Macaca mulatta: one gene and its partners. The protein of the gene in region 1 binds, or shares a complex with, the protein of each later gene. Links are inferred from orthologs where the notes say so. Each region holds a gene or a part of one and is shown on either strand. Other genes may lie near its edges.

Evidence for each region. Proteins that work in one complex are often made in the same cells at the same time.
Region 2: the proteins of YWHAH (region 1) and NEDD4L are in contact, whole or in part, in a crystal structure (PDB 7NMZ), measured with the Homo sapiens proteins. The link is inferred for Macaca mulatta from reciprocal best matches to the Homo sapiens genes YWHAH and NEDD4L. Residues at the interface, in NP_003396.1 of Homo sapiens: Arg12, Glu15, Asn39, Asn43, Leu44, Ser46, Val47, Lys50, Arg57, Lys125, Arg132, Tyr133, Gly174, Leu177, Asn178, Val181, Tyr184, Glu185, Leu221, Leu225, Asp228, Asn229, Leu232, Trp233; in NP_001138439.1 of Homo sapiens: Pro444, Arg445, Ser446, Leu447, Ser448, Ser449, Pro450, Thr451, Val452, Thr453, Leu454, Ser455.
Region 3: the proteins of YWHAH (region 1) and NUMB are in contact, whole or in part, in a crystal structure (PDB 5YQG), measured with the Mus musculus proteins. The link is inferred for Macaca mulatta from reciprocal best matches to the Homo sapiens genes YWHAH and NUMB. Residues at the interface, in NP_035868.1 of Mus musculus: Arg57, Arg132, Tyr133, Leu177, Asn178, Val181, Glu185, Ile222, Leu225, Asn229; in NP_001129547.1 of Mus musculus: Gln274, Gly275, Ser276, Phe277.

What each region holds. Positions count from the first base shown.
Region 1 is NC_133415.1:19,557,410-19,561,507, reverse strand, and holds the start of YWHAH (14-3-3 protein eta), read left to right. Parts: upstream 1-1,298; 5' UTR 1,299-1,403; coding exon 1,404-1,490; intron 1,491-1,888; exon of another isoform or gene 1,889-2,026; intron 2,027-2,484; exon of another isoform or gene 2,485-2,562; coding exon of another isoform or gene 2,563-2,577; intron 2,578-2,704; coding exon of another isoform or gene 2,705-2,820; intron 2,821-2,836; exon of another isoform or gene 2,837-2,862; coding exon of another isoform or gene 2,863-2,873; intron 2,874-4,098. UniProt on the Homo sapiens protein: Adapter protein implicated in the regulation of a large spectrum of both general and specialized signaling pathways. Binds to a large number of partners, usually by recognition of a phosphoserine or phosphothreonine motif.
Region 2 is NC_133423.1:22,744,215-22,748,239, reverse strand, and holds the start of NEDD4L (E3 ubiquitin-protein ligase NEDD4-like), read left to right. Parts: upstream 1-1,225; 5' UTR 1,226-1,610; coding exon 1,611-2,756; intron 2,757-4,025. UniProt on the Homo sapiens protein: E3 ubiquitin-protein ligase that mediates the polyubiquitination of lysine and cysteine residues on target proteins and is thereby implicated in the regulation of various signaling pathways including autophagy, innate immunity or DNA repair.
Region 3 is NC_133412.1:146,638,774-146,642,764, forward strand, and holds the start of NUMB (protein numb homolog), read right to left. Parts: upstream 2,801-3,991; 5' UTR 2,747-2,800; intron 1-2,746. UniProt on the Homo sapiens protein: Regulates clathrin-mediated receptor endocytosis. Plays a role in the process of neurogenesis.

The DNA of each region.
Region 1 (4,098 bases):
TACCCCAGGCCTTAATCTCTTTCCTGACTCTACTCCAAGATCCAGCTTATCCCTGCGGGCTGAGCATGCAGTAGATGCTCAGTAAATTCTCAGCGATCCCAAGGCCCCTTCTCCTACACTGCCTTTGGCATGTTGGAAGTCAGTTGGGGCCCTGTTTTAAGCATTATATTCCTAGCTTGTCGGGCAGCCCAGCCCAGGGCCTGGCACAAGGAACCCTCAGTATCCAATGCCAGCCAGGATTGGGAGGGGCTCAGTGACCAGCCAGTTGGGCCACCCCAGCTCTTTGCCACAAGAGGAAGTCCAGCCTGGGTTTGGACTCAGATCCTGGCCCCACCACTTAACAGGCTGTGTAAACTTGAGCAAGTCACTACCTTGCTTTTCCTCAGGTTCCACATTTTAAATATGGGGAGACCAGCTGTGTCCACGTGGGCTGGGTAGTGAGGATTAAAGAGGAGAATGCTCGTACGGGACTAGCCCTGGGCTGGCTCCTAATGTGTCCTGAATATTACTTGTCTCGGCCTGGTCATCCAGTCCCCTCTGGTGGAAGGCACAAGCCTGCCCAAGGCTATGTCTCAGGATGTGTGCGACTGCATGTGTCTGTGTGTGTGGCGGGGCCGTCCCCGAGGGTCGGACTCGATTCTGCCCGGACCAGTGCAGACCCAAGCACAGGGTGTGGCCTAGCAGAACCCACGGACAGGCAGGGCTCGGGGCGGGCGGGACGGCTGGGGCGGGGCGGGGCTGGGCTGACCCGCCCCTTGGGGCACGCGGCCTCCCGGCTTCTCCGCGGGTAGGTTTGCTTGCTTTTGGGGCCCTTCTCAAGCCACATCGCTAACGTGGTTGAAGTGGTGCGTTTCAGGGTGGCGCTATGACAATGCACTCCCCGTGCAGCCGCCATCACCGCGCCGCCTCCTCCGGCTCCGCAGTCTCCTGCCTGGCTTTCCCTTCTCCACCTCCATCTCTGCGGCGGTAAAATGCAGCACTCGCAGAGCGCCTGCGCGGCTTTCAAGCGGGGCGGCGGCGGCGGTGGCTATTTATAGTAGGTGACGTCACCTTGAAATAGACCGTTAGGGCCGGCCCGCCCTTCCCCCCTCCCACTCCAGCCGCTCCCCGCCGCCCGGCCTGGCCACTCTCACTGCGCAGGCGTCGTTTCGTCCTCCCATCCCCCAGCGCGACCGCCTCTCCTCCCTCGGCGGTGTCCGCGGCGCGAGCCACAGCGCGCGGGGCGAGCCAGCGAGAGGGCGCGAGCGGCGGCGCTGCCTGCAGCCTGCAGCCTCCGGGTCGGCCGGCGAGCCAGTGCGCGTGCGCGGCGGCGGCCTCCGCAGCGACCGGGGAGCGGACTGACCGGCGGGCGGGCAAGCGAGCCAGCGGCGTGAGGCGCGAAGCGAGGCCGAGCCGCGAGCGACATGGGGGACCGGGAGCAGCTGCTGCAGCGGGCGCGGTTGGCCGAGCAGGCGGAGCGCTACGACGACATGGCCTCCGCCATGAAGGCGGTGAGCGCGCCGGGAGCCCAGGCGGCTGGCCGGGGAGGCCTGGCTTTGGGGAGGGACGGGGATGGCCGCGGGCGGCGTTCCCCTCCCGGCCATGGGCGACCCCACGACCCGGCTGGGCGTGGCCGCCCGCGCTTCCCGCTCCCGCTGGGCGCCCCGCCACTTCCTGAGGCTGGGCCCGGGCTGGGGGATCCGGGAGGGTGCATCTCGGGGTCGCGGCGGCAGCCCCGTTGGGGGCGGGCGGGCCGGGGTCGCCACATCTTAGTTCGGATCCCGGGCGGGGGCAAAGGGTGCCCTAGGGGTCGTGAAGGAGCCGCATTCCTCCTACTAGAGCGTTTCACCGGACCCGGGGGCCCCCCCTCTCGTCTTCCTCCGTTCCCCGACTTGGAATAAAGAATCACCTAGTGAGTGGCGCCCTGTCTCAGCTGGTTTTCTCTGCTACGTCCTGAAGTCTGTAATTCCGATCTGTTTTGCTCTGCTTGTTCGAATTGTTCTGGTTTCATCTTCCCACTCCTGGGGGTCTGGCTTTGTGTGCGAAGACCCCTTTCCTGCAGTCTAGGCGTGGACGAGGGCGAGAGAGGGGGCGGAGGGTGTGGGGCCCATCACAGCCCCAGGTTTGCTGCTGCGCTGTCTGCCTGGAGATTAAAATGAAACGTGACTTCTAGGTGAGACTAATCTGTGTGCCTTTGCATTCCCGAGACCCTCATAAATCGATTCTGCAGCTTCTTCTCCGGTGGAGGAGTCGTGCCCAGCCACACCCTAGCAAAATACCGTGGGTCACACACCACCTGCATTTCTGAGTTCCGGTTACCATCTCACTCACTCTTCACGTTATTTTACGTTTTCTCTAAATGAGTATTTCCTCTCACTGTGTCAAGGTCACACAGTGATAGAACTACAGCTGCGGCCACCATCCTGCTATGTTCAGTGTACAACCTCCTGAGACCTGGGAGGAGCCCCTTGAACCCCGCCTTAGACCTACAGATGCAGAAATTCGGGGGTGAGACTCATATCTGCATCGTAACCAGCTCTCACAGGCGATTTTTAGCTGGCTTAAGTCTGAGAATTACTGCCCATGACTATAGTAAATGTATCCTTTGCTGGCCTTTTGGAGGGAGTTGCGAAAAAACTGCAAATACAAAGGCTCCCTAAAATCTTAAGTCATTTGGAAAGCTCATTTGAAGGCTGTTGACCTTAATGTCAGACAAAATATGTAGTTGGGGCTAATATTTAGGATTGTTCAGGTAAGAAAGGTACTTGAAGAGTTGCCTTTCCTGTGGTGTCCTTGTTACACACAACTGGGTGTGTTTGGAGACCAGCAACACTGTTGCCCGTATGTTGATTTGTGGGTGATCTTGACTTCAGCACTATTAGCATGCTGTTTTGGTGAGGCAGGAGGTTTTCTTCCAAACCGGGGGGCCGTCTAGGTCTGGAGGCTGAACTTCATGTAGTTCAGGGGGTCCTTTAAAAGAAAATCTAAAATATAATTTTTGCATATTGTACAGAAATGGGGCTGACTGAATGCATTTCCTTGGAAGGGATCCCGAACCTTAATTTTCTTTGGGATAAAGCTGCCTCTGTCCACAGCAGGTCACACTTAAAACTCTCCTCCCCAGTTACTGAGTGGTGCTGGGATTATGCAGGCTGAGGCCTCGCCACACATTTTCATGAAGTGGTTGCTCACCCTCTTAAGTGAGACGTAAAGACTGCAGTGTTAGGAGCCCTTTGGGAAATAAATGTGGTGAAAAGAAAGGAGGGACAAGGTTTAAATGAAGGGGAATGGAGGTGAAGGAAAAATGGCTAGAAGGTGCGTTCTGAAACAATCAGAAACCTGAAGCAACTTGAAATGGGGGAAAAAGGCAAGAATGGAGAGATGTTACCAGAACAAAATCTAGTTTGAGTAGAGAAAAAGATTGGCTTTCTAGTAGGCTTGTAAAATGCTTTCCTGCAGCTAGCTACTAGTGTCCATAGATCTTCTCTGGAGGGTTAAGGTAGCCTTTTGTAAACCAAAGGAATCTATAATATCTATATTTGAAATAATGAGTTGGAAAAGCCAGCCAGCATTGAAGAGTCAATCCAAGCTTTAATTCTGCCATCTCAGAATTGTGATAAACCATTTCTCCTCCATCATCTAAATGTAATATATTGTGCTTATAGATATTTTCTTTAAAAGAAAAATAATATGTTGGAAAGGACTGGCAGGAGTCACTTTCCCTGCTAAATTGGTGTTTGTAGATTAAATTCTTAATGTTGGCCGGGCGCGGTGGCTCACGCCTGTAATCCCAGCACTTTGGGAGGCCGAGGCGGGCGGATCACAAGGTCAGGAGATCGAGACCACGGTGAAACCCCGTCTCTACTAAAAATACAAAAAATTAGCCGGGCGCGGTTGTGGGCGCCTGTAGTCCCAGCTACTGGGGAGGCTGAGGCAGGAGAATGGCGTGAACCCGGGAGGCGGAGCTTGCAGTGAGCCGAGATCGCGCCACTGCACTCCAGCCTGGGCGACAGAGCGAGACTCCGTCTCAAAAAAAAAAAAAAAAAAAAAAAAAAAAAAAAAAATTCTTAATGTTACTGGGATGACTCAGTCTCTATTTTATTAATCTCTTTTGGAAAA
Region 2 (4,025 bases), on another chromosome or scaffold:
TTCTTTGTTGGCTATTAACCCAGCGGAGACAATATGTGGCTATGGTAGTACTTGGAAGTTCTAGCATTACACAGACTAGCTTCCATTTCTCTCTAGAGGTCATTTTTGGCATTTAAAACACATGCTTTTAGAAAACAGATTTGGATGTATGTAAACACAGGGTTAATCCACCACACCCTGGATGCTAGGGCTATTGACAAAGTCATGCTTTGCAGATTTTAAAATAAACTTTTTGTCACTCTTGCAGCTTGGTATTTTCCCCTCCTATTTTTTCACCCCCTCTAAATAAACCTCTTTGTTAACTAATTGGTGTTTCTGGATCATAGAAAATAGTGAGTTTAAAATACAGCATATTTCCAAGCTAACTACAAATCTGAGGACAGTTTTTCGACTGTGCACCTTTCCTTCCATTTCTTAAGTCTTTTTTGGTCCTTTGCAAACATGGCAAGATTCCATATTTGTGTCCCAACTGTGGTAATATTGCTGACTTCGTACTGGAAAGCAGTCAGCTCTAGGCAGCATTTCTTCTGCATGGTATTTAAGTTAAATTATTACCACACACAAAAAAAATCCACATGCACTCCCTTCTTCAATTTTCCTTTTGTTTTTTGTTGTTATTGTTTGTTTTTTCGTTGACGTTTTCTTTCCTACCTGGCATATGGGAGACAATGTTTTCTCCAGCTGGGTTCCTTTTCTCTGGTACTTTGGTGTCTGCCAGTCATGTGTGAGCTACACACACGTATACACCTTTTAAATGAAAAATGCTGTGATAGCAGGAGGCCAACTGGGTGTGTAGCACGTCGCGCTCCCTCCCCTCCCTTTAGCTATTTTGTTACTTGTAGATCCTGGTCTAATTATTTAGCATTAAACGGACACTAACTCTGTGGGGTGTGTAATCGTATTTATAGTACTGTTTTATTAGTTTGCATTCCATCCTGGTAGTGTAGTGATGTCATAAATAACAGAAACATGGTATCCAATGCTTGGGAAGGGGTTTACCCGGTGGCCAAGCCATATTTTACTTGTCGTTATTCCATGTGTGGTGGGAGGTGGGGAAATACCGTGTGTGCTGTTAAACATGCCAGGTCCCTGCACAGGTTAGACAGAGTCCCAGCGCTGTGCTCCATTGGGAAAGAAATGCCCTGTGAATGTGATGTGGTTTAGATTTATAGCAGCGTGGCTTGCAGTGTGTTTGCTGCCTTAGTCAGCTGTGAGAGCGCCCTGCTGGGGCCACTCCTTTCTGATGGAAAAGCAGCAGCTGGGAAGGTGCTGTTTCAGGCTCTTGCCGTTTAAAAAAAAAGAGCGAGTGGGGGAAAACTCCTCTAAGTCCAGAAGCTGGCATTGGAGGGGGAGAGCGCGGTCATGTGGTTCTGGCCACCCTACCCTCTGTCACAGTGTGGATGAGAGCTTTTTGCTCTTATCCAATCATGCCTGGAATGCCGCTTGCCACTTGGGTTATTTCTGCTATCTGTCGCTCCTGGTGCCGCAGTGCTAACAGTTTGGCAGATGGGACACTTTTTCTTGGAGTTTGTGTCTTTGGTTTGTGACTTCTGGCAGTGCCGGGCCTGTTGTTGCCGCTCGCCCTCGCCCTCCTGGCCCCCCTGGTCACCATGGCCCATCGGCTTCGGTTTCATTTTGGCTCTGGTCGCAGCAACACAGCCCCCGAATCAGAGATCCTAGACCAGGAGAGAGAAGACGACTTCTTCATGGCATTCCACACCCTACCACGGAGGAGCAGCCCGCACCCCTTCGCCCAGAACGTAGGGGAGGATGGCGACGGAGGCCTGCAGGGAGGCGTGGGCGCGCTCAAGCGGAGCTCGTCCATGTTCATCCCGCAGCTCCTGACCAGCATCGACGCCCGCCCCACGTGCAGCTCCTCGGTGCAGATCTCCCTGCAGCGCAAGGCCGCGGACGGGGCCACGGATGGGTGCGGGCCGCCCGAGGGCGCCGACGATGGGCCTCCGTGCGCCACGCCGGACCCCGGGGACCAGGCCTCCGCCACCGCCACCGCCACCACGAGGGCCTCGCCCCAGAGCGGTTCCCGGGAGCCCTCGCCGAGGGACACCCCCGGGAACTCCCCTCCGAGGGCAGCCCGGGACCCGGGGCTCCAGGTCAACGGCACGTGCGGCGGCCGCCGCCGCGTGCGGTGCCCTGGCCCGGTGGACTGCCCCGAGGAGGCTGCCCCGGGCCTGCGCATCCAGCACCGCGCCTCCAGCGCCGACGTGCGCCAGGTGAGGCTGCTGCCCCTCGGCCCGGATGGCCAGGGCGGCCCAGCGGCGGCAGAGCCCAGGCGCTGGTCCCTGCAGCACGTTCCAGATGCTTCTGGAAGCTCCGGGAAGCGGTGTTTTGTCTTCCAGTTGCAGCAGCCCCAGCAAGGCGCTCTGGGGTCAGGCAGTGACCTCAACTTTGGCTTCACGGGCACAAAGGGGGACAGGTTGGTGAGGTATCCCCGCATTCGGCTGGAGAGGAGCACCTCGTACCCCACGCAGCCCCGAAGCGAAAGAGGGAGCCCCACGGAAGATCGGGGAGCCCCGGAGGCACCGCCTCGGGCTGGCAGGATGGCTCCCGAAATCCGCAGGACGAACTCCGCAGAGAGGACTCCGCAGGGCCAGGGGTGCACATTTAAGATCAGGCAGGATCAGAACGCGGGGCAGCAGCATTTTAGAATTCTTGTAACCCGGGGGCCGGAAGAAGCTCCCCAGAATCCCGAGGAGAAAAGCGCCAAAAGCCCTGTTTCCACGGGAGCTGACGCCACGGTAAGTTCACGGCTTGTTTACATGTGTTTACTGATTTCAACTTCGATGCTTACTCTGCGGCGTAACCAAAATAAACCTCACCCTCTGTCCCGGGAGTTTCCCTGCTTCAGGCCAGCGGATCTGAATGTTTGGCCGAGTTCTGGCACGATGATTTGTGGTCCAGAGTTTGGTGCGCAAAACACCATTTCTGCAAATGTCTTCTGTAGGTCCTCAAAGTCAACCAACTTTGTCTGTTTGGGAAATCCAAGCAGAATACCTTCCCCCTGCTTTTATTTTTCTGAATAGAAGAATTTTGAGTAAAATTTATTACTTTAATCTGCCAAAAACCAAGTCAGTGCCCCAACATGTTGATGGTGGAAATGCATTTAAAAAGCTGCTTGCAAATATAACCTGCGACAATACTTTAAAAACAATCAGTTCTCGGAAAGGTGAGGATATTGCAAAGGACCTGAGTTTCGTCTCTTAATAGTTAAAGAAGGTGAATGTAAAGTTTGGTGAAATATGATTATTTGTCATGGCCTTTTTGCTGAGGGGGTCAGGTCAGTCGTTGTTATATAATTCGCTTTGGGTTTTTTTGTTGTTTTTTATTTTTTTTGTCCCATTAAGTAATACTGAACGAGAGTAGTGTCACTTGTGGCATAGCGACATTACTGTCCCACAAGTGACACTACTGAGATACTAAGAGATGTGTTTTTAAAACAACTGGGTTATGGCCCAAGGCTAGGGGAAACTGACGGGGACTCATTAATGGTCAGATGGCATGCCGTGCAATTTAACACTGTCCACTTGAGTGTCCAAGCCGGGGATGCTGTATATAGAATAGTAAGTACCCTGTCTCCAGCTGTGGAAATAGACGCCTTAGAACAGATTCTGGCCTTCCTGTTTCTCTGTTCCTGATCGCTCCCTTTCAGTGAAATGGAGTACAGGGAGACAGCTGCACACTCCATCCGACCAGGCATATGATGACTCTGCAGCTTTCGTAGAGTGGGATGAAAAGTTTAATCAGTTCGGTTTCTTTTACTAGTAATCACTAGCCAGTGAGTGCTTTCTCTTAAAGAACAAGCTCCTTATATTTTGAATTGGATATTTTTTTCTCCTGAATTTCATGTGACTGCCAATTTGAGGATACGATTAGTAAATGTCTAGGGGACTTTTTGTTTGGATTTCACTTGTGAATAGTGATTTAGAAAAGTGAGTGTCTGAGTATTACTCTAGAATTGTATTGTCTTTTATTGCTTTGTGTTCAGAAATACGTTTCGTGTTTTAAGT
Region 3 (3,991 bases), on another chromosome or scaffold:
TCTAAAAAGGAAATATCTTTTCATTTTTCTTTTTCGCAATGTTTCTTCCTTTGTTTTTGCTTATTTTCTATACATGACATTTTCTCAAGCCAGTCCATTTCAGTGTTGTTTACTGTCAATATGTCTGTGTATACTCAGGTTTTTACAAACAATGCTTTACAGTACAGTGATAAAAAAAGAAAGGGTGAACAACAGGGCACAAGTGAAACAAAAGCGGACCACATCTGAGACACACCATTCAATTTCTCTGCCTCAAATTCCCTTAAGTTCTCATGCCAAAGATTCTCAATATCCAAAAAAGTTCCAGAGTCAGAGGCATAACACAATATGTGACAAGACAAACACAGGAGGAACCAAATCAGAAACTGAAGAAATTTAATGGAATGTAATACAAGAGTTTCACTCTTGTTGCCCAGACTGAGTGCAATCTGTGATCTCGGCTCACTGCAACCTCCGCCTCTGGGGTTCAAGCAATTCTCCAGCCTCAGCCTTCCAAGTAGCTGGGATTACAGGCATGCGCCACCATGCTCGGTTAATTTTGTGTTTTTATTAAAGACGGGGATCTCACCATGTTGGTCAGGCTGATCTTGAACTCCTGACCTCAAGTGATCCACTCACCTTGGCCTCCCAAAGTGCTGGGATTACAGGCTTGAGCCACCGCGCCCAGCTTTCAGACTTTTTTAACTCTGAGAAATATATTTTATCCTTTGGCCAGGAACTCAAAAAAAGAAATACACTTTACACTGTGACTTAGTACATACATGTAGGAGAAAAGTTTCCCAAAACAATACTTTTCCTTACCAAATGCAATGTCAGTTTATTCTGTTCTACATTTTATTTTCAATGCTGGTAAAAACTCACATTGATTTTGTAAATTACTAATAAATCACAATCCACAATTTGAAAAACACAGGCTTAAAAATGGATATCCTTTATAATAGGATCTTTTGGGCAATTTGCCTCTACCTGTCCCTTTAGCAGGATTGGCAGGTATTTTAAAGTTGTTACCATTATTACCGGTTTCATTAAAGTAAGTGGTTCTTAAAATGTGGTCCTCTGACCAACGTGATCATCATTTGAGATAAATATAAATTCTTGGGCCCCACCCCAGACCTACTGAAACCCCCAGGTGGGGCCAAGCAATCTACAGTTTACCAAGCCCTCCAGGTGATTTTGATGCAAGCTAATATCTGGGAGCCACCCCATTGAAGAAATCAGGTCTTTATCTTCTATTTAACAATCCAGTACACGCTACTATGTGCCACTCACTACCCTAAAATCTCTACAAGTACTGACAAGAAAAAAAAAAAAAAAACACCTTATAAAGTAGCAACTATTACTGTTAGTATTCTGATGAGGAAACTGCACAGAAACTTAGCTAAGTGGTAGAACTCAAACTCCTTTTCAATTTAGCCGAGTATGCCTATCCTCTTTCTGATCAAGTATCTACTTTTACTCCTTTAGTTCAGCTACTCCTCCCCTTTTCCCTCTCAAATTCCCCACCCTGTCAATGAACCTATTTCCTAATATTACTGCCATCGTCCTAAAACAAATTTCTTTTCTAAAACAAGTCACTTAACCTTGCTTTTAGGAGTTTTTCTTTGGTCCTAGATGTCATCTTGGTATTAATTATGAAACTGAAGTTTCTTCTATTTCTGAAGACCTGTGAACCTATATGGCTCCACTGTTAATTTCTCATATATCTACTGTCCTAGCCAGTTCCACGAAACCATTGCTCTCTCCTCGGGCAACTTACTTTCTCTACCTTATCTACTACTCCCTCCTATAGGGATTCTCCCCCACCTCCGCTCATCTCCGTCCCATTTTGCAGGACTCCTCTCCAACCGAGGGAACTTCCACTTCCTGCTGGCTCCTCACCCCGGTCTCAAACCCGAGCCACTCCTCCAGGACTTCTTTCCTGGTCCCCTAGGGATCCTTAGACCCAGGAGCGGCCAGGCCAGTTGTGTCTCTCATCCCAATTCAGCTATGGGGGCGCAGGGCGCTTCGGTTCCTCCCCCAGGCGGTGCAAGATCTCTATTTGTCCGACTCTCCGAAGACCCGCTGCTCCTCATCTCCCCAGGAGCCCCCTCCCTTGGACAGCCGCTTTTCTCACGAGGGTCCCCAACCCCCTCCGAGCATTTCCTCAGACGCCCCTACTTGGAGCAAGTCTGCTCCCTGTCACCCGGGACCCCAGCCACCCTCGGCCTTCCTACCTCCCTCGGACTGGGGCCACTCCCAGTTCCCCTGCCGCCCACCCCCCACCCCGCTCTCTCCACACGGGCCGCGGCCGGGCTTCCCGGGTTCCCCTTCTCCCTGACACCCAAGCCGTCCTGGGTATTCCCGACACACCCCGCCCTCGGAGCAGGTCGTTACAGGTCACCCCCTTCTCTGGGACCCTGGCCGCTTCCGTTTCCTCAGATAACCTACTCCCCACACACTGGCCGCCGGTCAGCGCCCCAGACCGGAGCAGCTGGACGTCCCAAGGGACCTCCTGCCCTGACCCGCGTGGGTCCGGCCCTAGCCTACCTTCCTCGGGAGAACTCCGCAGCCAGAAGCCCAGCCATTCTCCCCGTAGCCCAGTCAGCGCGAACTCGCCGCCACCCCCGCCGCCTCCGCCCTGGCCCCGGCCCCGGCCCAGACCCGAAGTCCAGGCCCCCTTCCTCCGACCTCCGCCTGCGAAGTGCTGAGCTGGAGATTCCGCCCCGCGACGGCCACCAGATCTCTTACCCGCGTTACCGACACTCACCTGCCGCTGCCCCCGACCAACTCAAGCGCCACTGCCTCTACCTCGGCCGCCAGTGGCCACCGAGCGCCACCACCTCCCCCATGACAACAGGCCCACCCTCTTTCATACTTCTAACCTATCCATTGGATAATGGGGCGGCAGCTCTCCTCTCTGATTGGCTTAATTTACCCGCCCGTCATCGCTCTTTACCGCCCCTTTTCCTAAAACCGGTATTCGCCCCCGCCCGGACCTGGAGCGTCCTAGCCCAAGCTTTAGTTGTAATTGGTTGAGGGTTGGGCAATTCGAAGTTATGATAGGCTGCTAAAAGTGTCTGTTAAGCTAACTGGCAAGAGATGTGACGGCTAAGGTTGATTCACGCTTGTGCATGGTTTGGTTGCGCAGTGGAAGCAAAGGAGGAGTAGACGCTCACATCAGTGGTTACCCGGGAAGGGTTAACTCTTTGTTGTAGAGATTTCTCTGTAAACTCTTCCGCTTCTCCAGCTCCCTTCCTGCAAGGAGAAGCTTATCTCTGCTAGCTTTACTCATAGGGGTAGTACTTACAAAACACCAACAGCAGAGGTTGTGTTTAAGTAGTGTTTCCAAGCCCTGGGGAGAAAGGTATCAGAGAGATAAAAAATGTCCCCTTCTTTTCTTTGGTCTCAATGCACCCAGTTTCATTGAAGTTCTTTCCAGGCGCCTCCATGCTAAAGGGCAAAGCGCAAACTTTCAATTTAGCAGAAATCAGTTAACTTCGGTTGCAATTGTAAATGTCGTCAATAAACTGAAGTGGCGTATTGAGAGTTCTCCAGCTTCCAGATCCACTCCTGGCTGACCCCTGCCAATTGACCAGTCATTAGCAACTTTCTTTCTTTTTCTTTTTCTTTTTTTTTTTTTTTTTTGAGACGGAGTTTCTTGTTGCCCAGGCTGGAGTGCAATGGCGCTATCTCGCTCATTGCAACCTCCGCCTCCCAGGTTCAAGCGATTCTCCTGCCTTAGCCTCCCGAGTAGTTGGGATTATAGGCATGAGTCGGGGTTTCTCCATGTTGGTCAGGCTGGTCTCGAACTCCCAACCTCAGTTGATCCGCCGGCCTCAGCCTCCCAAAGTGCTGGTATTACAGGCGTGAGCCGCCACGCCGGGTTCGCAACTTTCTAATAAGCGGGCCACAATATATATACCCTTGTGATGCTCTGGAAATGAGAATTCTGCTTCCCCCCACCTCTCACTGCCACTTTGTTTTTCTGTTCAGCAGTTCTTAAATAGCCCTA